Linked DNA regions of Lonchura striata. The protein of the gene in region 1 interacts with the protein of each later gene in a pairwise test. Links are inferred from orthologs where the notes say so. Each region holds a gene or a part of one and is shown in the gene's direction. Other genes may lie near its edges.

Evidence for each region.
Region 2: the proteins of NCK2 (region 1) and LCP2 interact in binary tests that used the Homo sapiens proteins (3 or more experiments, as listed by UniProt). The two-hybrid records come from large-scale screens. The link is inferred for Lonchura striata from reciprocal best matches to the Homo sapiens genes NCK2 and LCP2.
Region 3: the proteins of NCK2 (region 1) and BCL11A interact in binary tests that used the Homo sapiens proteins (3 or more experiments, as listed by UniProt). The two-hybrid records come from large-scale screens. The link is inferred for Lonchura striata from reciprocal best matches to the Homo sapiens genes NCK2 and BCL11A.
Region 4: the proteins of NCK2 (region 1) and EIF3H interact in binary tests that used the Homo sapiens proteins (3 or more experiments, as listed by UniProt). The two-hybrid records come from large-scale screens. The link is inferred for Lonchura striata from reciprocal best matches to the Homo sapiens genes NCK2 and EIF3H.

Annotation. Positions count from the first base shown.
Region 1 is NC_134604.1:89,331,581-89,339,313, forward strand, and holds the start of NCK2 (cytoplasmic protein NCK2), read left to right. Parts: upstream 1-4,730; 5' UTR 4,731-5,058; intron 5,059-7,733. UniProt on the Homo sapiens protein: Adapter protein which associates with tyrosine-phosphorylated growth factor receptors or their cellular substrates. Maintains low levels of EIF2S1 phosphorylation by promoting its dephosphorylation by PP1.
Region 2 is NC_134617.1:14,843,376-14,850,653, reverse strand, and holds the start of LCP2 (lymphocyte cytosolic protein 2), read left to right. Parts: upstream 1-4,267; 5' UTR 4,268-4,466; coding exon 4,467-4,544; intron 4,545-7,040; coding exon 7,041-7,103; intron 7,104-7,278. UniProt on the Homo sapiens protein: Adapter protein primarily involved in signaling pathways within T-cells, as well as other immune cells such as platelets, mast cells, and natural killer (NK) cells.
Region 3 is NC_134605.1:25,456,302-25,463,874, forward strand, and holds the start of BCL11A (BCL11 transcription factor A), read left to right. Parts: upstream 1-4,553; 5' UTR 4,554-4,587; coding exon 4,588-4,924; intron 4,925-7,573. UniProt on the Homo sapiens protein: Transcription factor. Associated with the BAF SWI/SNF chromatin remodeling complex. Binds to the 5'-TGACCA-3' sequence motif in regulatory regions of target genes, including a distal promoter of the HBG1 hemoglobin subunit gamma-1 gene.
Region 4 is NC_134603.1:15,127,433-15,134,579, forward strand, and holds the start of EIF3H (eukaryotic translation initiation factor 3 subunit H), read left to right. Parts: upstream 1-4,128; 5' UTR 4,129-4,160; coding exon 4,161-4,280; intron 4,281-7,147.

The DNA of each region.
Region 1 (7,733 bases):
GTAGCAGTCCTGAGCAAAGTCCAATGTGGGCAATACCATTTTGCTGACATAACTTACCACAGCTGTGGAATGCCATATCTGCACCACTGGGTCTGCACAGCTGTGGCACATGTCAGGGGGCTGTGCCCCTCCCTTGAAATGGCTGCACTTCATGGCTGGAAGATGCAATGACTGTGTCTCTGCACTGTGCAAAACAGCCAACACTAGATGGAATTTGGTATTTAAGTGCAAAATGGAGATTACACAGCAGAGTCAAAACATTTAACAGAAATATTTTGAATTTCAAAACTGTATGAAAGATCAGTTTTAACCTTTGAATAGAGTTCAAAAGATGTCCCTCAGCACACATCCACTTTTAAATAAACAGAAGAATCAAGGGCCCTGACATTTCCAAAGCCCAAAACACCGGTTTGTTTTCCTTACATAAATACTTTGAATCTCAGCAACTGTCTACAAAAGATAACGATAGAATTTGTCATAGTTAAATGTGATCTGCTGATAAATTTAGCTTGCAGTTTTACAGCACCTTTGGGGAGCTTTGGTCCATTGAATAGAAGAATTTGGATGTATTGTGAGCTCTAAGGACACGCTCTTCCCCTCAACGTTTTTCATAAATGTCATTGAAGATGCAGCAGCCATGCAGTAAGTGAGAAAAGCAGCTGCCTTACCGCCAGGTTGAATCAGAATCATAGTGCAAATATACTTAAGTGACTCAGCAGTAACTAAGTGAGTATTTGGGATTTACTCTCCCCTGATAGTGGTCATGTAATTCCCCTTCATCTACATGGGAATTGAACATATGTTTTAAGCAGAAACTAAATATTTAGTGATGTAAACCCTTCAAGATTTTTTTTTTTGAGAGAAAATATACTGACAGAAGTTTTCTGTTATTTTCTGTTATTGTTGTTTGTGTCATTAAAATTAGCATTTTTTCAGGTTAAGGAGAATTTAAAATCCCCTTTTTTCTTCCCCAGAATGCCCAAAGATTTTTATCTTTCCATTTGTTATTGATACAGTATCAACAATCACACATGTATAAATGGAGTTTATTAGACTATTGTTATCTTTAAAAGGCAGTTTTGAAAATCAGGAGTAGGGGCTTTTGAAAGAGGTTAATCACAGAATCGTAGAATAAATTGTTTTGGAAAGACTTCTCAGATCATGGAGTCCAACCTATATTAACTTAGATTAGGTATATTTTCATCCCAATAGACTAACACAGAGTGACAAAACACCTTTTGCTGTCTACCTCTGAACTGGACAATGTTGTTTTCCAGATTTTCAACTTACCAGTCCCTCTGTCTCACATCCCTGCTAAAGTGTATCCCTATGGGAGTAGGTATTAGTTCAGACTCTAGATAGAGCAGCTGGTGAGAAAACCTGATGCATCTGGAGAAAAGATCAGGTATTTGTGCAGAAGGAGCCACATCTGGGAGGTGGTTGTTCTCTCCTGCCGCATTGTGTGTAAACACATTAGTGTGGTTTGGATCTGCATGGCTGGGATCCACATGTTCGCATGCCCATCCTGTGGAAGCCACCGCTCTGCCGGGCCGGTGGTAAAGCCCAAGCAGCAGCACACAGGGGAAAGAAAATGGGTAGTCATGAAAAAAGAAAGGCAAAAAAAAAGTAAAGAACTATAAGCCAAAAGACATGCTATTATTTTTTTTTTAGTGCCTTGTGCAAAACATGAACATCAAGATGAATTGACTGCCATTATATAATTGCAAAATAGGTCTATCACACAACCTCTGGGTCTGGGGTTTGCATGTAGCCCTATTTGAAACAGTGGTATGAGGCATGCTGTTTCTTTGCCAAAGACATAGATACATATTTCTATTATTCACCCATTTTTTTCTCTTTTTAGTATATAGTTATGGCCTTAGGCTGGGAAAAATATTTATGCTCTTCTCTACGGTGTATATGTTTTGTAAGGACAGCACCACTCTTATGCATATGCAAAAGTGCATGCTTTACATATTTACTTTCTTTATACAAAAGTGTGCCTGCCACATCATGTACTGCTTTCACTTCTGTGCATATTCCCCCCAATTTATCATCTTCTCATATTTAGAATGTAATTCTCACTCAAATCACAAGCAGCCAGCTCTTCTTAATAACAGTTATTTCAGAGATAACAGCTAATTATGACATTTTAAAAGGCATACATTAATATTTCAGTAGGCTCAATGTTTTGAAATACTACTCAGGGCAACATCTTGGTTGTTTTTGTGGGGAAACCTAAGGATTCATTCAGCAAATAGGCAGTTAAAACATCCTTCAACATATAAACCCTTGCAAACACTTTTTACAGTGTATTCTGTTTGTCATAAGCCACACTTTGGAAAAAACCCCAGCTTTAATGGATCTCTTCTTAATGCAATTAAGTATATTTAACAACAGTATGCTTCAGAGTCCTTAAATTAGTCCTTTGCCTCAAGACAATGTATTCATCCAAATCCCTCCCTAAAACATTCTTATTCTGCAAATCCTATTAGCATTAATCTGCTAAAGTTAGGTGTGTTTTATCATTTTTTTTCAGATACCTGGAAAGCTTTGAGAGCTACCGCTCATTCAGCAGCTAATGGTCCCTTCTAGAGGTCTTAGCCCAGAAACTTCGAAGGGTCCATGCCACCTTGCCTTGGACATCCTCAATTCAACAGCGAATAGGGAAAAAACCAGAGGAGGATTTATTGTGGGATGGCATTAGCAAAGGTGTGGTAAGAGGGACAAAACTTGAGACCAAAACCTAACTGTATAGTATAAATGCAAAGGATGGAAGGGATAATTCACCTCTCTTTTATCTCTTCCACAGTGCATTTTGTTCTAGAAACAACAGAGACTTTTATCTGAAAGTCCTTGGATGACCGATCCCATTTAAATTCAGCCTAAGCCTGTGCAGGCTGGAGTGATGCCTAACCATGCTGTGAGGTGGAGCCAGCAGGGACCCCAAATATTTTCCAGCTCTAAAAAAGCATGGTCAGATTATTGTTTCAAAAGGAAGATTAATACCTCTCTGAAGTGAAATTAAATGCATGCACAAAAACACAGGAAAGGGGATTTCTGTTCCTCCCCGAGGTGCATACAAAGTCTTTCTTGGAAGAAAGAGGTGGCTGCATTTTCCTTTCAGGTTTATCTCACAGGCAAGTGAAAGGCACTTGGAACTTCCCAAACCACCAATTAAGTGCTGTAAGAATTTGTAAAAGTTAACAAGGGGAAGAGGGAGTTATTTGAGGATTTCTAAACCATTTTAAGCAGGAGCATGGAAAGATGGCCGAGCACACATCTTTGTCTCAAGATCTCACTACTATATTAAGCTTGGTCACAGAAAACAAGGTGGCAGGGTTGCTGACTTTAATTTGGATTCAGAGTGGTGTTTCCTAGTCTTGCCTCCAAAGCCAGGAATTGTCTCCTGAGAAGAACCAGTATGGATAACACTCCAGCCTCCTCGCCCTCGGAGCTGCCATATTTCATATGTAAAGATGTATGTATTCGTATGTAAATACGGCATGTAAACATGCCAAAGGTTTACAATATTTTAGAGTGGCTTCCCCCTTCCTTCCTGCCCACCCCGAGGGATAATATTTCCCCATAGCCTAGGGACACTACTGGGGGGAGTGTGCCAAGGGGAAAGCACTGGAGCTGGCAGGTTGGCTATTCCCACTAGAGACCAGGGCCACGATGGGATGCTTCTGTCCTCTGCCTTTAATCACTCGTGGAGATCTTTCCCGTGAGTGGAGAGGCACAGCAGGTAGCACGGGCTGGACATACACCCAGCCACGGGGCTTTGTTTCAGAATTGGCTTACTCCAGAGACTGGCCTGAAGTGTGTCAGGGGAGGTTTAGGCTGCATATTAGAAAAAGTTTCTTCACCAATACGGTGCTTGGGCACTGGAAAAGGCGCCCCAGCACCAAGCTTCACAGAGTTCAAGAAGCATTTGGACAGTGCTCTCAGCACATGGTGGAGTTACTGAAGTGTCCTGTGCTTGGCAAAGAGTTGGGCACGATGAACCCCGTGGGTCTCCTCCAACACAGGATATTCTCAGAATCTGTGGCTTGGGGTGGCTGCCGTGCCCACACGCTCTGCCGAGGGCACAGCACCTACCAATTACCGCCCGACCGGCTGATGTACTGGGCACCGAGGCTGAAACTTCGCCCCGGGCCGGCAGGGAAAAGAAGGGCCGGGAAGAGAAGAGCTACGGCTGCGGCCGCCCCGCGGCTAATGGGCGGCGGCGGGAGCGCCCGGTATCGCGGCTGGAAATTCCCCGGCGGCAGCGGCGCCGCGCTCCCGGCCCGCGAAGCGCCCGGCCCGTGGCAGCCCCGGGGCGAACCCCGGCGCGGCGCATCCCCCGGCCCAGCCCCGAAGCGCGCACATCTCCCCCATCCCCGGGTCTTTCAGCGTTCGCCAGTACTTTTCCCGGGCGCTTCCGCTCCCAGCGGGGCAGCTTCCCCGGGTCTCATGGGGATGGAAGGGGAAGGAGGTGTCAGGGCGCTCGTCACGGGCAGGGGCCCCTTTGCCCCGCCCCGCGGTCCCGGAGAGGTCCTCCCGCAGAGGGGAGGGAGCCACCCAGGCTGTCCCTGCCCGTCCTTCCTGCGCTGGGGCGGGGGAGCAGCGGCCCTCCCGGCGGGCAAGGGGGAGCCCGGAGAGCTCCTCCCGCGCGATCCCGGCAGCGGCAGCGGCAGGAAGGGCAGGGCGGGGGCGGGGGCTGTGCCTGTGCCGGGGGGGGGCGGTTCGCGGAGGAGGGGCCGCCGCCGCCGCCGGGCGCAGCAGGCAGAGGGAAGGCAGGGAGCGGAGCTGCCGCCGCCGTTGCCGCCGCCGAGGGCCGGGGCCTTGGACGCGTCCGGTGAAGAGCGCGGGAGGAGAAGGAAGGGGAAGCGGGGGGAGCCAGCCGGCCCCTCTCGGAGGACGCGGCCCGCATCCGCCCGGGGAAGGACAGAGGGAAGCGGAGGGGGAGCGAGCGGGCGCCGCCGCCGAGGAGACAAAGAAGCGGAGCCCGCCTGGGCTGGGAGCCTCCCCGCCGCTGCTGCCCGCCCCGCTCCGCTCCCCGCCGGCCGGCCGGAGGTGAGCGCGGCCGCGGGCGGGACGGGGATGGGGCCGGGGCGGCGGCTGGGGCCCGCCGCAAACTTGTGTCGGCCGCGGGGGACGACGCGGGGAAGGGGCGTCGGGAGCGGGGGAAAGGCGGGTGTCACCTGTGCGGCCGAGGCTCCGCGGCCGCCCCGCGCAGGAGGGGCCGGTACCTGCCGGGGGCGGCCCGGGGGGCCCGGAGCGGGAGGAGTGTTCGTTGTGCCACGTCCAGTTGGGGGGGGGGGGGCTGGGGGCGGCTCCTCTTCATCCTCCCGAGTTGCCGCTCGTGTGTGTGCGTGCGTGTGACAGCCGCTGCTTTGTGCCGCCCGGCCGGGGGGTAGCGCCGGGCCGGGACGCCACCCCCGCACCCCTCGCGGGGCTCCGGTGAACAGGGGCGGTGGATCCGGCGGCCGGGGCAGCGCCGGGGGAGGCGGGCAGCGCCTCCCGGCCGGAGCGCGGCGCACCCCGAAAGTTTCCCGGGCGGGAGCGGGAGCGCCGCCGCCCCGCGCGGGGACCGGCGAGCGAGCACGCCGGGCTGCGGCGGGGACATCGCCCTCGGTCCGCTCAGTTCGTTGTTTTTCCGTCACCGACTTTCGACTTCATAGGGCTGAGGCCGCGGATTTTCTCAAGGAGCGCGGTGCGCTATGGCCTCGGTCGATGCCAGTATAGGTAAAGGACATAAAGGTAAAATTACACCTCACGTAATGAGTGTTCAGTGAAGCGCATCCCTGCGTGTTTTGGGAAGAAAATTACTGAAGTTTATAAGTCTTCTCGCCCTGTTTTTAATTAAAAATCTGCCCAGCCTAACAGCTGCCCCTTGCTGGCAGGGTAGGCACTTTGGCCTATCTAAGATCAGGTTGCCAGATCGGGATTCAGTTTTGTAGTTCAGGTCTGACCTGCAGCTGGCTGATCATGAGAGCTCTCAGCTCTAGTTTCTATGTTAATATCTTCCACTATTTTTTAACAGTGAATGTGATTCTCTGTGTGCATAAGGGTTTTTCCGTGGATTCTGTGTAGTATTTCACTCTGAACTACCGTGTTTTTGTAAAACAAAGAGAAACCTTTTGTTGTTTTAAAAGTTGTACAGTGACTGAAAGTCGGCAACAATTTAAAGCGTTCTTCAGCTTGAACAGCGTTTCTTCCCATGAAGCTTTTTTCTTCTGAGGAACGTACTGCTGCTGTTCTAGCAGCTTAACGTGGGAGAATTAGACTTATCTTTCATGAAATGTGGTAGTGGCCCTTTGTAAAAACAAATTTTCATGGCCTAACCATGCGTGGTTTGTATCATCGGGAGTTTGGACTGGTAACTTAATATGGAGGAATTTGAAAGGACTCACTGGGTAGGAGATTATGAAGTATTTCTGTTTGAAAGTACTTGTTTTGTCGTTGCTTTTTAGGAATCTGAAGCAGCACCACATAGATGATGTTAATGGTACTGTGTTTTCATTTTTAGGATTATAATTTCTGATGTAATGTTGCTTCTCTGAAATATTGATTTCACAACTCTGGAAATCGAAAGCCTCTGTCTCACCCAAGTGTGTTTAAGAAGTTAAGCAGATTGCTTTGTCTTTGTAACTGACTTTCTTCTTGTGACTTTGACAGAAGATGTCACTTTTGGGAACAGTGAATAAATGTAGCAATAGAAGGCACCCGTACCATGAAGATCAAGACTGTAATTAGCAAATATTTTTATATAGGCCATGAAACGGAGACAGATTCATTATAATGTTAGCTCTTGTTGCTGTTGTTCTGTCGTCGCAACATTAGCTGTTGCATTTGCCTCCTACTTCTACCAGATTACAGTTCGATTGCTTTTGTGAAAAAAAAAAATTATACACAAAATCTCTTTTGCATTATTTTCCCAAAACTAATAGCGGAGTTAGCCCTTGATAGTGTGGATGATCCTTTTTACTACATCCAGACTACTGAACATATGATAAATTCAGAAGTTCAGCCTTTGCCTTGTTGCCTTACAGACAGGGAACTTACCTCCCTTTCCTCTCTTCTCTGTTTTCTTGGTTAGCTGTCTGAAAGCTTAAGGAAAGGTGTTTGCACTCTTCCATGTCACCTCACATCTTCTGCTATATAAAGAAGAGGGACAAGGTCAGCCGTGTCTGCTGCTTTTCCAGCCTTTGTTTTATCTGTGCCTTGTGTTGCTGTTGGTATGTTAATCCTTTGCAGTTCTCATGGCTTTCCTCAGTAGAAACTATAACAGTAGCAACTTGAAAAGTGATACCCAGATAGCTCTGTTTGCTGGTCGTGGTCTTGAGCAGCAGCAAAACTACCCAGAGTATCTGCATTTCTCATGCTCCTTGAGCATTAAAGCTGCTTCCAGACTCATGGAGACAGGTGCTGTATCAATTTACTTGCAGCAGGTTTGAAATCAAAACCAAGGCATCTTTGAATGTAAAGCATACGTTCTAGAAAAATATTTTCTGTTTGTATTGAGGGACTGATGGTTTCTAGGCTGTGGGTATTCCCAAACCCCACTCCTGCTGTGTTTTGAGGAAGGGGAATTGCTGATGTGGATTCATTAGAGATGTTTGAGGGAGTTTGAAAACTGAAACCAGGCACTGCTGTGTTTTGGTTAGTTCAGTCAGCCTAGGGGTGAGGTGCTGGGTGCTCGTTGCTGGACACCCTGCTCCCCCAAAGTAGGTCATCTGGTGTGTCAA
Region 2 (7,278 bases), on another chromosome or scaffold:
GCCATGGAAGCACTGAATGAGAATTCCTCAGGCTTCAGCAGCTCCCACAGACTCAGGTTTCCAGTGGAGGTGGGAGTTCCCCAGCACAGCCCAATCCTGCAGTGGGGACAGGAACAGGGCTGGGGTGGGAACCAGAGCAGGAGCTGGGATGGCAAAAGGGAGCTGGGCTGGTGGAAAAAAAATCCTGGGGGTAACTGGAGCCTTGCAGAGCCGAGGTGTTGGCAGCTGCCCCTGGGCTGGAGCTGGGGAAGAAATTGTGAGCACAGGGGGAAAGGGTTTGAGCAGTTAGCCAGACTAAAGGGTGTGTGTTTAACATGCTTTAACTTAAGCTCCAATGTCTCCATCAAACTGGTGACCTCAGGTACAAAAGTGGTGTTCACTGGCAGTTCTGTCCCTGGAAGGCACTGTTAGTTCAGGAGGGTCATGTCCAAAGCAGAACAGTTCCAGGTGTCCTTTTGGCCCCTTCTGTGTCACAGGACAGCTGACCCTGCTTGGCAGCTCCTGAACTGAGCTGCTGAGCTGCACTGAGCAGCACAAACACTGGAGCAGTTCTTCAGTCCCCAGTTCCTCCTTCTCAAGATTGCAGCAGCTTTTCTTGTTAGCAGAGCCCTTCACAGCTCATGGGAACAACTGACTGCTAGTTGTCACAAAGTTTATTTTCTTTTTTCCTTCCCTCATCTCCAGCTTCCCTTTCTCAGACTTAGCAAGCATTTTTTTCAGTCTTTCCTTGACAGACAGCTCTGTTGAGGTCCCCTAAGTGTTCTCTGCATTTGTTTGCAGCATTTCTGGACAAACCAGACACATAATGCCACTTATGACCCAAACAGAGTGGAACAAAACATATTCCTGAGCAAACTGCTCTTGCTAGAATATCTCTAAGTATTTGCCTTATTTTTTACAGGACTTTAGTAGATATTTGATTCTCTTTGGTTTCTGGATAGAATCCAGCTGCACTCTACAGTGGCTGTATTTTAGGATTTCAGGCCTTTCGGAATTGCCTAAACTCCATCTTGACACCTGCTCAGAGTAACACAATTCACTGACACGGGAAAAGATGCTTCAAGTGTGCATGTTTTGTTTCCATCCAGGAAAGTCTTTGCTGAGGATTGAGTTCCTATAGAGAACACTTTTTTTTCATTTGCTTTGTATGAAATTGGATTTGAAGCCAGTGTCTCAGACAGTTTTATTCAAGCCATACATTCCAGAGGCAGGGAGGTTGGTTAACATTTACCTCAGGTGCTGCTCCCATTAAAGTCTCATATTCAGGGTCCATCTCTGGCACTGGCAGTCACCAGAGTGGGGCTGGCTGGGGAGGAAGCCTGGAAGTTCCATTTCTACAAATTGCTTTTTCAAATTGGCCTAGGTGTGAATGTGAATATCCTGATACTTTCTCCAGGAGGAGTTTAACTTACACCTGAGCCAGGTGTGTAAGGGAGGACATTGATGTGGTAAAAAGCATTATCCCACCTCACAGGGTCTGCTTCCCTTATCTCCCTTATCTGGCTCTGACCCCAGCTCACTGCTAAGCAAAGGTCAGATTGTTGTGCTCATCCTCCCAAGGTGGGTGATGAAAATATCTAAAATTTCAGAAAATATCTGAACCCCCTCTGCACCAGGGTTGTTCTTAGGATCAGAGGTTTGTCCACCACACATCCAAAACCTCTCCTTCCCTTCAATCTGGCCCCAGCAAAGCACCAAATTAACGCTGACACTTCAGCCTCTCACAGTTACAGGTAGGTGACACAGCCTGGGCACTGGGCATGCCATGGTAAAGGGCAGCTCTAGGATGTCTAGGGTAAACATTCCAGGGTAAAAGGAAGGATCTACCCCAGTCTTTTTAAAACAAATGTGGGCAGGACAAAAGAAAACCACTTCATAAAGATCCACTTTCTTTGGGATGTGATGAACGTGAAGATTAAATTCTCACAAGGTTTGAACTTTTTTTTTTGGCTCTAGGGATATGGAGTAACCTGAGTTACTCTAGAAAAGTAAACCCTTCTGAAAGTGGTTCAAAGCCCTTGACTCCACTTAAAACAGAGACAGAAGACCACCAGAGAGAGGTGAGAGAAAATGGAAAATGTTGCTGCCCTTTGAAGGCAGCAGAATGTCGGCAGTGTGAATTTCCCCCCTGTGTTGCTTAAAATGGTTTGAGTCTCACATTTTCAATCATCAGTCACCAGACCAGCACTGCATCAGAAAAGTCTTACCATTGGCAGCTGTTATTGAGGGGACGCTTTTTTTGGTGTGAAGGTTGTGTCACTGCAGGCTATAAAATACCTATGAAACACTTAGTGTTTTTAAAAAGAGGGGAAAAAAATCTTAATAAAAAAATATGCTCCCGATAATAGCAGTGTTCCTTAGCTTTTGAAAATCCAAGAGCTTAAAATCCATCTCATGAGATTGCCAGCTGCTGTAGGAGTATATCTGAAAATTCATATATAGAAAATACAAAGTGGTGTTTCCTCAGCAAGCCTTACTGAGACACCACATCTGATGTGCTTATGATGTTACAAAAGAAGCTGTAGAGAAAGACAGAGCTCACATTCGTGTGCAGCTGGGTTTTGCAAGAAATGCATGAAATCTGCACTTAGCTATGATGCACACAGTGCCACAGACAGGATGCAAACAAATAATAATAGATACATGTGTTAGAATTTCTGTGTTAGCTGCTCTTGATGCTGGGAGATTGCCTTCAGAGGTAACTGCTTTCCTCCTTTCTCAGCATCAGAATAAATGATGCTGTAATTCTCCTTATAACACCACCAGCATAAATTTTGACCAGACTAATTAATTTCATATTAGTACAAATAAGGAGTAACACAATTGCAATTAGATCTGCTACACTGGGTTTGGGATAGAAACCAGATTAGAGGGTAATGAGACACATCTGAGAATAAGCAATTAGGAATTTAACACAGGCTTCTCCCTGCCTTCCTGCTTGTTTCCCTGAGAGATCCAGGGGCTGTGATGGGATGTCTGAGGTGTAGTTATGTAACCTCCCCTTTACCACTGCTGACAATGCACCAGCAAAGCAACTTTTCCTTTGGGGATTCTTTGGCACCAGCTCCTTCAGTCCTATTTCATCCCCAGACCTAGAGGTGATAATATTTCTGTGATATTGTCAGGACCTGCCTCAGATGATTCACATAGGTAATTTCAAGTAAGAACCCAGAAAACACAGCTGTAGCATGTATTTGATAAATGCTACTCTTCTTAGAACAGCTCTGACAGCAGTTTAATTCCAGAGCGTTTTAAATACCATGCTGCCATCATTTACCAGAATTTCTACAGGAAAAAAAGTAAGCTACTCTAAATCAGACTCTGAACTTCAAAAGGAAAACTCTTACAGTGAAGACTGGTAGGTTTGATCTCAAATACATGCACTCGTGTGCAACACACCTGCAGACATGAGGCTAGGAGGCTGTCAGTGACTGGAGACAAGAGGGATGCATTTCATTTCTCCATAAAATGAAGAGGAAATTTCCTCCCCAGCGCTTCAGAACTATGCACCTATTCTTACCAGTCCAGGAAACTCAGAAATTTTGTGCAGTCTAATGGAGGAGTGAGGCCAAGGATTCACAGCAGCACAGCACAAGTTCCACGAGAAGGGAGAATGGACATGCTGGCTCTTTTTGAAAAGGACACACTTGGAATTACTCTATGTAATCTCAGCAAAGGCACCTACTGATAGGAGGGTGCCTGAATTGGTTGTGCAGGACAGATGAAAATTTATCACATCCCTGTGGTAATAATATGGTTTTGTGGGTTCATTTTCAGATACCAAATCCTCATAAGAAGTAGCCAAAAAATGAACTATTGATACAATGGCAACATAATAATTTTTCATCTAAACTTGTACATTTTTTAGTTTCACTGAGTGATTCTTTATTTGAAGGGATATTGACTGCAATTCCATCATTAATTCATTATTTCCCCATTATGTGCAGCTCTGACAATAACCTTTAATTGTACAAATAAGGATATTTCAGGTACTGAGGTAAATTAAAGCAGTTTCTCTTAAGTCAATGTTTTCTTCTTAGTGGGGCCTTACCAGAAGAGTAACCCACACCTATGCAAATAATATTACAATATTTTTATGCATGTATAATGTGAGTAATGCAATTAAAAGCAATTAGGGTCCATAGGCATTTATTTCTGTGTAGCAGGCAGAGCATTTTCAACCCTCTGCTGTGCTTCCTTGTTTACTTATTTATATTCAGAGAAAGGAAGTGGTAAGGCTGACTAGCTGAAACTTCTCGGAGTAGAGACCATTTTGTACCAGAGGAAGCAGTGTCTCTCTGGAACGAACTCACAGCATCATTTCAATTGACCAGAGCAGTTCCTTGACAGAAGGAGCTGGAGGTTGGGCAAGAAATTCCTTGGAGGTGGCCACAGAGAGGGAGCCCATGGCAGTGTCGCTGGCAGCAGGGCTGTGAACGCTCCCTGAGCCTCGGGGGACACCAACCATGGACCTGCGGAACGTCCCCTACCGCTCCGACGTGCTCACCTGGGACCCAGAGGACTTAGCAGAATATTTCAGGACGGTGAGTTTGGCCCTGGTTTGTCTTCATCTGATGGAGGAGCAAACTGCTGGAACGTTGGTAGGGCTAAATTCAGATCTTTTGTAATGGGCAAAGCTTGCTGCAGAACTAAAAGCAAAACCGCTGTCAAATGAGAAGCTGAGCTCAACTGGTCAGCGAAAATGAATCTTGAAAGGGATTTTTAAATTGGGTTTAAGAGAAACTCATGGCTTACTTAGAGCAAGGGAACAGGTTAGTACAATGCTTGTTGGTGTAACACACGTTAACAGCTGCGGAAGGCACTAAGGTGTGAAGATTACAAGTTTTCTGTTTAATCTTCAATCATTTTCAGAAGTGATATTTTTTTCCAAATTGCTGGGTGTAACAAATGAGCCTCTGAATGTCTTTGTTAATCGCATCCCTGGCTAGACTTATAAAACTTGGCACACCTCGGGCTTAATTTTGAAATAATGTGAAGTTTATTTTTGTTTTTTCAATGGCTCCTATAACTGTGAGAGTCTTATCTAGGGAGGTGAGGAAAGTTTGATAGTGGAATGCAGAACTACTTAATAAAGATAAGCAGATCAAACATAGAAACTGTGTCTACCAAATCTCCAGAGAAGTGAAACTGCCAACTACTTACAAGCCCCTAATTTTAGGGTGCAGGAGTTAGTGGCACAGGAAAGTGAAACCAAAAACTGGAGATGGAATAGATGAGATCATTATCAACAGGCAACTTCAGACAAGTACGAAAAACATTACAACAGCAGTGCAGAGCAAAGTTGGACCACCATTTCCAAGAAATTAGGAAGGCAAAAAACGGCTTTCTGAAAGATCTGATAGTAATATCCTGAACAGTGACAAAAGGATCAACTGTAAGTTCTACCATCACTGAATGCACATTTATCTGCAGTGCCTCCCTTCTATGGATCAAGATCCAGAATGGAGATACTGGCATTCCACTCTTGGGAGCTAAATCAGGACAAAAGCTGTTTAAGTAATCTAAAAAATCTGGGTGAGACAAGAATGTCAGCCCAAGTCAGGTGGCTCTGGGCTACTGTCACAAGTGAACAGAGCTTATCCCTGAGATAAACTCTGAGAATATTCTATACTCAGAGATCTATATAAACTCAGAGATATTATCTCTGAGATAAAGGATGAATGAACCAAATTTTCAAATAATTTCTGATTTTTTTTTTTGGTTTAGAAAAAGCAAAGATGTTCATATTTGGGATATTCCAAGGTTTGTTTTTAATACCTAAAGAGCATTTTTAAATCAATTACTTCAAGATTGAGATTAGGTCTCAATCACAGGGATGTGTTGCTTCCCTCTGCATACAGACTTGTGCTGGTAACATCACAATAGCGTTCACTGTAGGAAAGAAATTATATACAGGTTTAAGTCTTCAGTCTGCACTGAAGTTTTAATCTGTATCCTAAAATATTTACCAGAGTTTTTTCATATGAATAACTGAAGGTAGCTCCTAAAAATATCCTCTCTGCTGTTCGGTTGTTTCCAGGATCCGTACCCGAAGTTACAAAGTTACACCTTAAAATGAAAACTGGGATAGGGCTACAAAGCACATGAAGCTCCCTGGGAAACCTCTGCTGTAGGGGAGCTGTCCCAGCAGCACAGGGTCGTTTGCAGAACTTTCACCACTGAAGTTTCAGACAGAATAAAAGTCATTCTTTTGTCTCAGAGCCTCCAAAAGTTTCTTTGTCTGCTCTTTGGGCTCCTTCTGATAGGGACCTGACCAACTTGAAACAGATCTAAGCTATAAATTGTGTTCTTACACTGTACTATTACAGTTCAAATTAAAAAAAAAAATAAATCCCAAAACAAAAATCAATCAATCAAACAAAACCCAACAACAACAACAAAAAACCCAAACAAAAACCCAAAACAAGCAAACAAACAAAACCAACCAAAAAAGACCAAAAAAACCCCAATCAAAACCAAATTTAGGACAACTGTTTAATGTTTAAAAGTCATGCCTTGCTTTGTGCTCAACCTGTACATGAGCAGCTTCTAAAGAGCATATCCTTGTCCTAAATGCTACTGGAAGTCATAATACTGTGGAAAAGCTTTACAAATATTATAGATAATTTCCAGGATTAACAAGTGAGATTTCTATCCAGAAGTGAAAGCTTTTTGATCACAACAATGAATTCTGTGACTGGGATCAGTCAGCTTTAGTATTCCTGGATAATCAGGTTTTTGCTTTACTTCTGCAGCTGCTCATCCCAGTCAGTACCACAATAATCCATTTTTCAAATATTTCTTTGGGCCAGGCAGCTGTGAGGTGGTTTCTAAGTGTGAGGAATAACATGTTCCTAAATGGATGAAAGCCTTTAAGTCACTGAAGGATGTCTGTCATAAAAATCTTTGTTTATGGGACAAAATGAGCCATTTAGGTGGGCCATAGCATACAAAAAGGTATCTACTCAAAGCCAAACATATGTTGTCTTAATTAATTCTTAGAGTTAAGGGTGCAACAATCATCTTCTTCTCATTGACAGCTAAAGTATAAGGACTGTGAGAAAGTCGTGAGGAAGCACAGCATAAATGGACAAAGGTTTTTGGTAAGTGGAGCTGTAAAATTCCTTCCTGTAAAATTCCAACTAAGTGATGTTTGAGACTCCTCCTTATTTTGCAGATGGAGAGCCACCTTCCAGGTGGTTACTGAGGTATAAATATGGGAGGTAAATGCTTTTGCTAAAATTAGCCAGACAACTTGCTTTAAATATGCAATGCTGG
Region 3 (7,573 bases), on another chromosome or scaffold:
AGAGCCGGGGCCAGCTCGGAGGCAGCTCAGCCCCCTGCGCCCGGACGCGCCGCGGCTGACCCTGCTGCCATCATCAGCCTCTCCGGCAGCGCCGGGGGCCATCCGACCCCCTTTCCGCGGGGTATCCGAGCCCAGGACACTGGCGGGGGCGGGGGCCGTGTCTCGGGGGGCTCAGCCCGGTCCTGCGGCCGGGGGCGGCCCCGCATCCCTCCCCATAGCGCCCGGCGCTGGGCTGTAGCAAACTCCCTGGCAAGAGCTGTTTGTTGACCACATTCACGTTCCGAGCCCTGAAGCTAAAAGCACTTTACACAATAAAATAAAAGCACTGTCTTTTTTTCTAAAAGGTTACGTCTGGAGGCCACGCTGCTCATTCTTCATACAGAAAACTACTGAAAGGGCTATGAAATCCTCTATGATTTACACTCCCTCTCAGTGCATTAGGATATAGATCTACTCGACTCTAAAAATACTGTGGAGTTTCTAACCGATGTGAATATATGTGCATTATTTCAGAAAGTCTGTTAGAAAACTTGTCAACACATTATAAAGCATAAACCAGGACTTAGCCATTAAATACAGAGATCAGAGACAAAATGTATGCGGCAGGAAGTACCGAGAAAAGTCCCTTCATTCAAAAAAAGTATATTAGCTAAAAGTTTACACACAATACACATCAAAAGGTTTGAAGCGAGACCATGGACCTCAATTACAAGGCGTAAGTGGAATCAGTAGGGGCTTTACAGTCCCCAGCGCAGTTAACTGGGCTGCCAGAAAATAATTTTAATATTGTCATAATTTATTACCCACCGAAAGCCAAGGATTGTAAATACAGTCACTTTGTGTCCAATGAGTGCTCGTTAAACAGCCTCGTTCCCTTACCCTAAAAATACAATGAAATAAAAACCCACCTGCATTATTAATCTGCGGTCATGCCGTGTTAAAAATGTCTTCTCACTCCTTTTCTTTCTTTAGGTTTGTTATCTCCCTCCAATCACATGACAATGCGAAGCGCTGTGGGGTGGGGGGGGGGGGGGTACAGGAACGAGGGGGAGACAGCGCTATTGCGATCAAATGCTAATATTAATAATTATCCAGCCGAGATGAAATATTATTTTTAAGGCAGCGAGTTTCCATTTAAATCGAGGCATTTTTACGGTGCTGGAATTAAGGGCATGCTGATGGTAAGAACATCCTCGCTGCTATTCATGAAAGCATCTGTAAAATTAGCTCCTGACTGGAGGTTTTGAGATGCGGTCTGGGAAGTCACCTCTGGAATCTCAAACACGGTACGATAATAAAACAGATTTAGTTGTCACCAAGTTCTTAATTTGCTATGATTTTTAAAAAAGAAAATCAATGAAACGATGCCTGTGATTGGGAATAAGCACAGATAGGTGTTCTGATGCAGGTTGGCTTTAGAGAGCGTAATGAATTGTAATTCAGAGGAGTGTTAACTGCGAACCGCAGAACCTTTCAGGGGTAATAAAGTCATTACTTTTTACATTGCAGCCACCTTCAAAAGCTTTATACGTGCCATTAGATATAAATCAAGCCCCATATATATATATCTACATCTCCGGTACAGACACCCACACGCCTGTGTTTCGCGCAGGGACATGTGCACGCCTGGCACAGCCATCCCTGCGAGCGGCGTGAGCTCAGAAGCCACCGCTGTTGTCACCTGCGGCTGGGTCCCTCCGCCACGTCCCGCATCCGCTCCCGCACCCTGGCCCGGCAGCCGCGGGGAGCATCCCCGTGCCGGTGGATGAAGGAGGGGAGCGGGAGCCAAAAGGAGGAGGGGGGGGGGCGCTGAGCGGCGACGGGCGGAGCCGGGGGGCGGCTGGCGGGAAGCTGAAACTATCCCACGGCGGAGCGGCTCGGCCCCAGCCCCTGACAGCTCCGCCGGTGCGCGCCCGGGCTCGCCCCGCCAACAGGTCCCCGCCGAGCCCCGGCCCCCGCCGCCCCCTCGCTCCCCCGGCCGGCCGCGGCTCTGCCCGGCGAAGTGTCCCTTACGGCGGCGGGCAGCTCCTCGCCCCGCGGGCTCTCGCCCGGCGTTCCTCTCCGGCTGTCCGCCGCCGTCCCAGGCACGGCTAGCCCTTCGCACTCCCCTCCACAGCCGTACTTTGCTCCGCACACCCGTTCGCCTCCAGAGCTTATTTCTACCGCAACCTGATCCCTCCCGGTGCCGGCAGCATCCGCCTCGCTCCCAGTCCTTTCGGTGAAGTTGCAGCCGCTGCCGCCGCATCCTCCCAACTCCAGCCACTTCTCGGTGCCTCCTGCCGCCTCGCTTCCCCCACTCTCCCGCCCACCCCCGTTGCCAGCCCGCTGCCCGCGCCGCCCCGCCGCCAGCAGCCCCACGTTTCGCTTTCGTTCAGAGCGTGTGGCTGCGGGCAGGGCTCGGAGCTCTGCCGGGGGAGGAAGGAGGGCTCCGGGGCTGGCGGGCGCGAGCAGCCCGCGAGGTCCCGCCGCCCTCCGCTCCCCCAGCGCCCAGCTCCTGCGGCTTCTCTTCCCCTGCCTGCCGCTTCCTCGCCCGCCAAACTCCGCTCGCTGCTCCCCCGCCCGCCCCGGGGCAAGGGCCGCCGCTGGCCGCCGAAGTTTCCCGCGGCCCGGCCCGAGGCCCCGCCGCCCCCCAGCTCCCCGCGGGGCCGCCGTCCCCCGGGGACTGGCCGTAGCTCCCGGGAGGAGGGGACTCGGCAGCTTCGAGGAGGATGGCGGGGGGGGGTGGGGGCGAGCGGGGAAGCCGGGAGCCGGATGCCCCCCCCCGTTGCTTTTTGGGTGGTCTCCGGTCCTACCTGGCTTCCCCCAGCTCCCCCATCTCCTCGGCACAGCCCGCGGCCAGCCTGCCCCGCAGCCCTCTCTGCCCGGCTCTGGCTTCACCGATGTGTTTGCTTTTCCAGCGGGGGTGTGCGTGCGAGAGCTGCCGCTGCCTGCCTGCCTGCTCGCTTTCTCCCGCTCCTTTTCCTCCCCTCTCCCCGAGTGTGTGTTTAATTTCCGCCCCTCGCCCCTCTCCTGGGTCCCCTCTTGCACCCGCTCCTCCGCGGCCACTCGCGGCTCCGGCCGCCGCCCCCTCCGCCCCCGGCCCCTCGGCTCCATTCGGCAGCGTGCGCCGGGCGGCCGGTGCACCCCCCACCGCCGCGCCCCCTCCCCTCTCCCCCCTGCGATCACTGTCCATTGGCTTGTCCTGCTCTCTTTTTCATGTCCAGCCCCTGATGAGTGTCCATTGGTGTTGCCTTCGCCTTCCCTCCTCCCCTCTCCCCGGCTTGCCCTGCCCATGTTTTGTATGTCTCTGTCCATCCAGGCTCCTGACGTTCAAGTTCGCAGGGACGTCACGTCCGCACTTGAACTTGCAGCTCAGGGGGGCTTTTGCCATTTTTTTCATCTCTCTCTCTCTTTCTCTCTCTCCCTCTCTCTCTCTCCCTCTCCCTCTCTCTCTTTTTTTTCCTTGCACAAAAAAAAAAAAAAAAAAAAAGAGCCATGACTGCTATCCCACAATTCATCTTCCCTGCGCCATCTTTGTATTATTTCTAATTTATTTTGGATGTCAAAAGACATTGATGAAGATATTTTCTCTGGAGTCTCCTTCCTCTCTAACCCGTCTCTCCCGATGTGAACCGAGCGACTCACAAGCCACCGAAGCCACCAACCCACCATGTCGCGCCGCAAGCAAGGCAAACCCCAGCACTTAAGCAAACGGGAATTTTCACGTAAGTAACCCGGAGAGCAATTTATTTAATTTACCCTACACTGATTTAATTTTTAATTCGAGAGAGAGAGTAGGGAAAAAAAATTAAAAGTGAGAGCCATTGAGCGAGTCGGGGAAAAAATTAACTCAGCGCCGGCTCGGGATTCTCAGCATTCCGGGCAATTTCTGCCTCTCTAATTTAATCACCTTGATGACTTTTCTTCTTTTTCTGCCCGTGCCCCTCGCCCGCCGGCGCGCACTCCGCTGCCCCGCTCCACGCTCTCCTCTCGTCTCCCGCTCTCCGCGCTCTTTGGCGGCAAGAGCGGCAGCTCTCGCCCGGCACCAGGAAAGGCGCGGACGAGGTGCGGGGCTGCCGGGGGCACAACCGGCCGAAAGTGGGAAGAAATTCCTGCGGGAGCGGCGGGCTGGACGCCGGACACGGCGGTGGCCGGGCGGGCGGGATGGGCGGCGAGCGGAGCGCGGAGAAAGTCCGGCGGCCGGAGCCCCCCCGACTGCCGGCGGGGTCGCCCCCTCGCCCCGCGGCTCCCTCCTGGCGGGGGGGGAGGCAAAGCCGAGCCAAGCGGGGACGCCTCCCTTTTGTTTCCGCCGCGGGGTGCGGGGTGGCCGTCCCGCCGCTCCCCGCCGCCTCGGGCCGGCGCCGTGCGGGGCTCCGTCGCCCCGACCTCGCCCCGCGCCCGCCCCGCCGCCGCTCCGGCTGGGGCTGGGGCGGGGGACGGCACCGGGCGGCGAGGGAGCCGAGCCGAGCCGCGCCGCGCCGGCTGGGATTCCCTCCTCGCCCTCGCCTCGCGTTCTCCCTCTCGCTTACTATTTTTTGGAAGATTTTCAAAAAAAAAAAAAAAAAAAAAGTGGAAGTGGATTTTGATTGGGAAAAATCTCGTGTCTGAATGTTTACAAGCACCGCGTGTGCGGGGAGCCTCCTGCCAACAAACACAGGCGAGAGCGAGCCCGGGCTGAGCACACACGCGCGCTCACACGCACACACACACACTCGCACCCTCACACCCGCGAACGGCCCTTTCTCGCCGCCGCATTTCAACCCCAAACCAAATGCGCTCTCCCCGGGAGTGAAAAAACAAACCCCGAGCCCCACCACACCGTTCGCAACAAAAACTCTCCGGCTCCCTCCGTCCCTCCCTCCAGCCGCCGCCACACACACCAGGGCTAGATGCAAGATAAGCGGGAGCGCTCTTTTCACAACAAAAGGCAACTCGAGCTGGAAAGGTTTGGGGCGAGGGGGGTGGGAAGGAAGGGCGAAAAAAAAATATCCCCTTTTCCTCGGGGTGAACCTGGGGGAAGGGGAAATGCTGCATGTTTTTCCTCACTCCTTTCCTCCCCTTTTCTTTATTTCTTCCTTTCTCCCTCTCCCATTAGTCCCGACGGGTTTTGTTCCCTCCCAGGGATGGCAGAAGACCCAGGGCCATTTCTTCCTGCCAACCATCCCCGGCTCCCTCGGCCCTTCGCAAAGCCCCCCAAACTTTCCGCCGCGGGTTCTCTTCCCCCACGGCCGCCCAAACATTGCAGTCAGGTTCGCACATGGAGGGAAGGAAGCAGCGCTGGCTCTTTGCAGGCGTCCGCTCCGCCGCGAGCAGGGCCGCCCGGGGGCTCTGAGTGCCCAAAGTCTGCCCTAAGAACCCGGGGGGTGTCGGGGGCTCAGCCCCTCCCCCCGCCGTCTCTTTCTCCTCATACTTTTCGGAAAGCCTTTTTTTTCCGCCTCTTTTTTTTTTTTTTTTTTTTTTTTTCATTGCCGGGCTAGGGATGGGGCGCAGCATCGCTGGCATATGGGCATGCCTCCCCCCCCGCCCCCGGAAATGGGGTACGGGGGTGCTTTTCCCGGGCAGTCGTGGAAGTGGGATGCGGGGAACGGGGATCGCGGCGGGACTGGAGGAGGGGGTGGGGGGCTCAGGCTCGGCCCCCGGGGCAGCGGCGACGGGCGGGATCCCGCGGCCGGTTCTCGCCGCCGACAGACCCGCGGGCCGGCGCGGAGTGCGCGCACGTGCGGGCCAGGAGCGGCGGCCGGGACAGGCCCGGGGGGTTCCTCCGGCGAGAGCCGCCCCGGCGATGGGGAGGGGGGTGTGGGTGGGCCGGGAGCTGGGGGGGGGAAAGGGAGGCCGGGCCGAGGGAGCGGCGCGCCAGGGATGCGGCGGCGGGGCCGGGGCCGGGGCTGGGGCCGGGGCGGAGGCGGCGGGCGGGATCCGTGCCCGCTTCGGTCGCTAGGAGGCACAGCGAGATCAAACAACCGGGCAGCCCCGCGAACTTGAACCTGGCCGGCTCCTCCGCTGCCTCCCGGCCGGCGGGAGGGGGAGGGCGCCCAGCTCCCTCCCATCCACCCCCCCACCCCCCCACGCCCCTCTTCCCTCTTCTTTGTTCTTAATTTGCGCGGAGTTTGCTTGCTCCGGGATGTAGCGGGGATGCTCGCCTTCCCCCTCCCCGGGTTTCCCCTCCCTCCCCATAACGTGTTGGCGGTTCCTATTGTGCCCCCAAGTCTCCCTTTCCTCGCACCGCTGTGATCCGAAGACACAAACTTGGGATTAAACAGCCCTTCTCCATCCTTCCCACGGTACGGTGCAGGAAAATGCCCCAGCAGCGCATCTGCATTGCCCCGCGGGCATTTCTCCTCACCGTACTGTGGCACCCCCCTCCCCGCCCCATCACCCCCAGTACCTCCTTTCTCCCGGCACTCCAAAATCCATCCCTCTTTTGCCGGTGCGGTTGTTCTGGTGGCTGGGAACAGGGAAAAAAAGGGGGGAGTAGGAGGGCGAAGGGGGAAAGCTGAAAAGACATGTTGGTGGAAGGGCAATTTGCATGAAAAATAGAGACGGATGATTAGGGACCCAGCCAGAGAATTTTGATTGCCCCAGAATTAAAAGATGCATCCTGCAAATCGGAGGCAAAACCAGGTGAAATCTGGTGTTTTTTTCGTAATCCCGGTATTTTATATTATGTTCTAAAAGTAGCAGTAATAATAAAAAGCATTTTTTTTTCTGGCTCTGCCTCCATCGGGAGCCAAATGTTTTGCAGCGAACACAGTGCCAGCCGTATTTCATACTTTGGTATATAATTCTTGTTAATTAGCAATAATTTACGTTAAGAGCATAGAAAATGTTGAGGTTACAGGTTTTATATCTGTACATTTGATCATCTTGTTATTTTCAAGAACTTTGCCTCCTATAAAATTAATTAGGTGAAATGTGGAGGTGTAATCAGCAACCTCTGAATTACCACTTCATTTCCTGGTTTTGATTGTAAATCAGCCCAGTCCGTACAGACTTTTAGCAAAGTCTTTTTTCGCTCAGTGCCACTTTTAACTGTCTGGTGTCGAAGCAGCGGGTTACCTTCCCCTGCTAAATAATAATGACAGCGTCAGAAAGGAATCAGGAAAACATTATAATTGAGTAATGATTATGCAGAGCTCCTCACTAAGCCAGTTGCAAGGGGAGCACGGGTGGTTTTGTGTCGTTTTGCTGCGAAGAGTCGGTGAGATCGAAGTTAGATTTGCAAAATACCTTTGTCTGCGGCGAGCAGCGAGCTACCGGTGGAATTAGACCTGAAATAATTTATTCCCTCGGTCCGAACGCAAGGATCGGCTTAGGGAGAAAAACGCCATGCCCGGCAATCCCTCAGAAACACCCCGCTCCTCTGCCGGCTTCCCGAGGAGCATGAGACGCACGTTGTGCCTCCTCTCCTGTTGGTCTGTAAGTTTAGAAGAAAGCCCTAGCGATTAAGACATTGTTTTTATTAATACGAATGTAACCTTCATATTCCTGTGGTTGACCTTACGTTAAATTAGAAGTAGTACTAGAGGCAAGAAATGATGGACTGGATCCCTGTGTCCTAGTTGGAGCTGAGGTTTGGTGAGGTAGTGTAGTGTGC
Region 4 (7,147 bases), on another chromosome or scaffold:
AGGAGAATGAGAGGCTGGAGAACAGAGTCATGAAAAGGGACCTGGGGGTCCTGGTCAGTGGCAAGATGAACGTGAACCAGCAGTACCCTGGTGGCCAGGAGGGCCAACCCTGTCCTGGGGCATCAGGGACAGCATCACCAGCTGGGCAAGGGAGGGCTTGTCCTGCTCTGCTCTGCTCTGCTCTGCTCTGGGGCAGCCTCACCTTGAATGCTGGGGACAGTTTTGGTCACCACAATATAAAAAGATATTAAACCATTAAAGAGGGCAATGGAGGGCAACCAAGGTGATGAAGGGCCTTGAGGAGATGCTGTATGAGGAGCAGCTGAGGTCACTTGGTCTCTTCAGCCTGGAGGACACTGAGGAAAGACCTCATGACAGTTTACAGCTTCCTCAGGAGGGGAAGCAAAGGGGCAGGTGTAGATCTCTTTACCCTTATGACCAGTGACAGCACTTGAGGAAACAGCATGAAGCTGAGTCAGGGGAGGTTTAGGTTGGAGATCAGAAAAAGCTTCTTCACCCAGAGGGCGGCTGGGCACTGGAACAGCCCCCCTGGGAAGTGGTCACAGCATGAAACATGACAGAGCTCAAGAGGCATTGGGACAGCACTCTCATGCACATGGTGTGAGTCATGGGGATGTCCTGTGCAGCCAGAGCTGCACTCAGTGATCCTGATGGGTCCCTTCCAACTCAGCATATTCAGTGATTCTGTGACTATTATATTGTGAATTAAAACTGGATATTCATGTTAATATAACAGCTAAGTTAAATAATAATATTGAATTAACTCCATTATCTAGGAAAACTTCAGAAGTCAATGCCAGTGGGAGTGCAGCCTTCATGGAAACCTAAGGGCAGGACTCAATACCTACATGATAGCTGAGCTCGCTGGCCACAGCACACTGCCCTGAAGATCAGGGATATTATTGCATCAGCCTCTCTACAAACTGCTTGTAGGAAATCTCCCTGATCCCACTGCACATGCACTTCAGTTTCTTTGGGGCACAAGGCACATTTGACCTCAGTGTGTTTTGGTTTGGAAAGACAGGTGTCTGCTAAGGAAGGCAGGTGCCTTCCCTGAAATGTTAAAAAAAAAATATAGACCCCCTCCCTCTGGATTGTTACCAATTTGAAATTAAGGGGGGCTCTCAGGCAGAAATATGGAAGCAGGAATAACAGTTCTTTATTAGGAAAGAAAAAGATAAAATAAACAATGCAGTGAACTAAAACAACACTGACAGAATACAACTGACACCCTGTTAGTCAGGGTGTCGGCAGCAGTCCAATTGGGAATTATGGCTGCAGTACTCCTGGAGGGTTAGGTGTGGTTCTGTTGGAGCAGTAATCCTGTAGAAAAGGGTGTAGTCTTCCTCTGAAGATGCAGTAGAAGAGGCAGGTATTCCTCTGGGAAATCCAGTGCAGAAAAAGCCATGCTGATGTTCCAGAAACTCATTATATCCAGGTGGAAATGCTTGCCTCCTCCCTCTGGGAGGAGCATTTTGCAGTGGGATGCTGTAATTTTTATCAGTCATGCAGTGACATTCAATGGCCCATTAACAGCAGATGTCTCCGTGGTGGGAGGATTGGTTTGCGGAAGAGATAAAGAAAACTGTCCAATTAAGAGAAGATAACTGACACACCTCTAACAGATGGCAACAGAATACATCTTGCCTTGCAATCTCAGACATAGCAATGCTGCCATTCTGAACTGCCCCTTCATCTCCATTTAAGAATTATTTTCCCAATGGAAAATGTGAAGTGGGATCCATCATACCCTGCTTTAGACATCTATCACAAGGTGTCCTCAGCAAAGCTGGATGCCCAGATTTCTTCTGGATGCCCAGATTTCTTGTTAGGGTCAATGCAGTTTAGTCAGTGATGTCAGTGGAATTTAGGATATGTTTTGCCTTGCTGGGATGATTATTATACTCAATTCTTTGTTTCAATTTGCTCCAGCATCAATGCAAGCAACTGATAAGGACTATTCTAAGTGATGTTAGAATCGTTTTATAGGAACAGGCAAATGTTGGGTCTGTGGCCGCAGGCAAATGCAGATACGTTTTAATATTGGTCTTGATAAATATGTTCCTCACCCTTAATTAGAAATGACTGTTAACTACACTGTTGAAAAGATAAATTTTTATGAAGTCACATATTTGGCATAGTGTCTGAACAGATCTGGGGGGTTTGGTAGGGCTGCCTTTCATAGCGCGTTGCATTTTTCAGAAGGAATTTGAAGAGTTTGAAATTAAATTTAAAAAAATTCACACAAGAAACCCCTACCTCAAACAAAATGGAGCAGCAAAACCAACTGTTTTAATGCAACCCAAACTCATTCCTGAGAATTGCAGAAGTTGATAGTTCAGGGATTTGTGTAATGTTAAGAGTTGGCACTGATGTCTCGTTATTCATGCTCAGGACAGATATTCACATCACCCCACAGCAGTTTGCCTTTTGTAAAGATACTACACAAAGCTTTCAAATCTATAAGAAGTACATGTCCCTTAACATTTGCAGGTTTATTAGGCGTAAATACTTCCTCAAGACCAGAGTCTCCTCAACCATGCTGGGGAGCCCTCGCTGCAGCCCAGGGCTGGCCCAGCAACAGGGCTGGGAATTCACATCACTGTGGAATCAGAACTGCCTGAGGTGGCCCTGGAAATGCACAGATGGAGGTTTCTGGGCTGTCAGAAATGCTTTGCCAGGGGCCAAATGGCAGCTGGACCAGGGCAGTGACCCTTCCCCTCCCCTCAGCACTGGTGAGGCCACACCTCAAGGGCTGTGTCCAGTTCTGGGCCCCTCACTACAAGAAGAACATTGAGGGGCTGGAGCAAGTCCAGAGATAGACAATGGATCTGGTGGAGGCTCTGGAGCACAGGTCTGATGAAGAGCAGCTGGGGGAGCTGGGGGTGTTTGGCCTGGGGAAAAGGAGGCTCAAGGGGGACCATGTTGCTCTCTACATCTCCCTGTAAGTGGTACCAAACAGGTTCTTTCACCTGGTGTGCAAGAAGCCAATCCACACAGAGCTGAGGTATTTCATTTTTTTACACTTCTCTGCAGAAAGGGGTGCTGGGTGGCAAATCCACAAAGCCAGCAAAATGACTACCAAAACTTTTCACTATTTATGCATTTTAACAAAGGCACTAATGTTCATTCATAAGAAGTTACTTAGTTATCTTATTAATTAGTGTTCTATCTTCTATTGGTTAATGATTCTCTCACTTCTCATGTTAATTAGTCTGTATGCTAAGTCTTCCTCTTCCTCTGAGTTGGTGGCTTTCTTGAGTCATGATTTTCCACTGCTGGAATTGCTTTTTACCTCATGGAAGCTGATGCAGCACAGTTGTTGAGTTGTCCTTATTAGTTTCTTCCTCATCTTGAGGGGTCTGTCAAATGTCCTCGTGGCCCATAAATTCTGCATTCTTTGTGCCCACTGTCAATGGCACATCCTTCTTCCCAAGCTCATTGTTAACTTCCCCCTAGGTCTGAGATCACTGAAGCATATCCAGCACTAGTCCTTAACAAGGCAACAAGTATTTTTAATTTCTAATGCCTGGACATCACTTAGCCCTTGTTAGCTGCTATCTAATTCACAGATTAAGTCTCCTTTCTTGTTGATTAGGCTTGAAGATACACCAAGAGCAAATGTCAAAGAACATCTTTTCTTAATTTTCATCTCCCAGGTAAATAGCGCCAGGGTGACAGGAGCAGAGGGCATGGCCTCAAGCTGTACCAGGGGAGGTTGGACATCAGGAAGAATTTCTTCACAGAAAGGACGATTAAACACCGGAATGGGCTGCCCGTGCAGTGCAGTCGGTATGGATGGAAGTGTTGAAGACGCCTGGAGGCGGCACTCAGCGCCGTGGTGCAGGTGACACGGCGCGTCTGGGCACAGCTTGGACATCGTGGCGGTTTTACAAGGCAATGACTCTGTGGGGAGGGCAGGCGCCAGGGCGGCTCTCCCGGCCGTTCCTGTCGGATGAGCTGGCCCAGACCCACACAGGCTCTGCGGCAGCCTCGGGCCGGCCGGGCCGGGCCGAGCCGGCACCGCCGCCGTGCCGGGCCCCGATCCGCGTTCCCGCCCGGGCCCGTTTGGCCGCGCACCGCCGCTGCCGCGCGGGCGCTTCCGGCGGGCGCGTTTCCGTTTCCGGCCGCGGGCAGCCATGGCGTCGCGCAAGGAAGGCTCGGGCGCTGCCGGCGGCGGCTTCGGCGCCGCCAAGGGCAAAGGCAAGGCCGCCGCCGCGGGAGACTCGGCCGTCAAGCAAGTGCAGATCGACGGGCTGGTGAGCAGGGGGCCTGGGGCTTTCGCGGGCGAGGCGGCCGCTGGAGCCGCCGGCGGGGCCCGCCGTGGGGCGGTGCCGCGGGAGCCTCGTGTCTGCTGGGACCGGCGCCTCTCGCGGGCGAGAACGGCTTCGCGTCCCTGCGGCCGGGCTCCCGCCCTCGTCCGTGTGAGGGGAGCGGCTCGCGCCCCGTGTAAGCAAAAGCCGGGCCGGGGCAGAGTGATTTCTCTTTAAATGTCCCATTTCACCTTCCAGCTCCGCCGCCCCTGTGCCCGGAGTTGCTCTTTGCTGCTTTTCTACTCACAGTCATACCCTATTGCCAGAAAATGCCGCAGGTCTAAGAGCTGAGAGCACGGTGGGTTTTTCCCTCACCCTTGTGCTTTTTGCCTTCTCTGTCAGGGCTGCCATGACCCCCTGCGTTTGCTTAATGGGAAATAAAATAAAGTGACGGGTGAAATGACTTGACAAAGAACAGAGCCATCCTAATACAGACAATCAGTGCAGGCCTGAAGTGGAAGAGCATCTACTGAAGGTGGTTCTTGGCTGTGCTGCTGGATCTTTTTGTGTTTGTTGGTTCAGGCCTTAGAAAGTTGGTAACACTATTAATGACACAAGGAGAAAAAGTTACTTAGGGGTGGAAACATTGTTTTTTACTTCATTAGCTTTGCCAAGTGTCAGTAGAACATTGTACAGCTGGAGTGTGAAGGAGTTGGTACCCTGGTTATGAAAAATAAAATCATAGTTTTGAGACAAACTTTGAAGCCTGCTTGGCATTATTAGTGGTAGTCCTCAGCTCTTATCCTGGAGATATACAGTGTAGTAAATATTTGGGAAGATGAAAAATAATTTATTTGTGTGTAGAAGGACTTGTGAAAGAGGAAATCTGAATCCCATTTTTTCTGCCCTGCTCTGTCCAGCTATCTGTGTGCCCGTGGCTTTGGTGCATGGAGCATTTTCAAGGAGTGGTGAAAACTGACTGGTTGTGAAATGTTCGTAAAAACCCAGCAGTAGATAGCAGACTGCTCCTGCTGCAGGCTGGTGCCAAACACTTAGATAAAAGCTGGTAAATTTGATTTATGTTGCTCCTGATTGTTCTCTATCAGGCATATAATCTGCTTTGTGAGCTGCTGTTGTTTCAGATCAACTGTGAGTGTCTCTGATGCTCTGCTTCTGACAGTCCAGCAAGTGTTTAGGATTTTTTTATTTGTTTGTTTCATGCTTTTTTTCCCTTCTCCTTGTATTTTTTTCTGGTGCAGCACAGTGGTGCCTCTCACACAGTGTCACTACAGAGGGAGGTGATTTACTGAAAACTATGAAAGCTTTCAACTTTCCACCCCTGAAGATGTCTCCTAGCCAAAGTGTTCTCAGGACATTGACATTGGTTCATAAATTTCTCTGACATCTGTGATGGACAGAAACGTTGGCATAAATTTGTTTGCTTTGCAAACAAAGTTTATTCAGTTATAAGTCCTTCAAATGTCTTACTGAAATTCTTCTGAAGTGTTTCTGATACCTCACTGGTTTAAATGTCTTATCTGCCCTCACAAATTAACAGGACTTCCTCAGTCATCTTGATGATGACCAGGGTGATTACATGCCAAGAATTCTGAATTGTGATGGGCATCAGGGGAGTTGGTGATCTCTTTCTCTTCAGTGGTGTCTCTTCTCTTGGCATTGTCACAATTAATCCTTCAAATGGGGCTGCTTTGAAAGCAAAGGCATGTCTAGGTAGGCTGCTTTGGAATCTGAGGGCAAAATAGAAGATGCATCAGTTATCTCTGTATGTGAGAAGGTGAAAGTATGTTTAAAAAGCTTGGTGTTTCAGAGGAATAATAAATTAAAAAACCCCAGTATCTGTCATGAAAATAAGAAGTTCTAAATGTTATGCTGTTACCTTAATATGTAACAATGCAGCAATGTCTGCTTCTCAGACCTCTTTTTAAAATCTGGTACAGATGAAGCATCCTGGAGTTAACTTCTTTCTTACTTTAATCTTCTCAATTTCTTAATAAATACTTAGATTGAAAATAGATTCCAGTGTAGATGGCCTGGTCTTTGTAAAAAATTAGAAAATGCAGAGTGAAAAATAACCCTCCAGAAGCACATTATAAAATGTGTTTTTCTTTCAGGTGAGATGTAAGAATTCACGTATTTGTTTTTGGCCATCCTGACAAAAAGATCAGATCAAGTGCCATATATTGCGTCCTGTTGTCCTTCCTATTGTAGAAATTTGGATAGTTTTCTCCAGTCAAGGAGCCCAAAGAGAGCTTGTGTTTACAGTGGTGCACAGGCCTGGGAGAGAGTGACTGGTGGGAAAGAACCCGTGGGTGCTGGTTTACAGCAACCAAACATGAGCCAGTGTGTGTCCAGGTGTCCAAAAACACCAGTGGCCTCCTGGCCTGGATCAGGAGTGCTGTGGCCAGGGGAATGATTGTCTCCCTGCATTCAGCACTGGTGAGGCTGCACCTCAAATCCCATGTTCAGTTTTGGGCTCTCTGCTACAAGGAAGTCACTGAGGCCCTGGAGCATATCTGGGGAAGGGTCTGGAGCACAAATCTGAGAGGAGCAGCTGAGGGAGCTGGGGGTGTTCAGCCTGGAGAAAAGGAGGCTCAGGGGAGACCTCACCACTCGTTCTGCTCCCTGGAAGGAGGCTGTAGCCAGGTGGGGTTGGTATCTTCTCCGAGGTAACAAGTGATAGGACAAGAGGAAATTGCCTCAGGTTAGTATAGGGGAGGTTTAAATTGGATATTAGGAAAAATTTCTTTACTGAAAGAGTGGTTAAATATTGTAACAGGCAGCCCAGTGTGGTGGAATCACCATTCCTCAAAAGTGTTTGAAAAAACATGTAGATGTGGCACTTAAATAGGTGG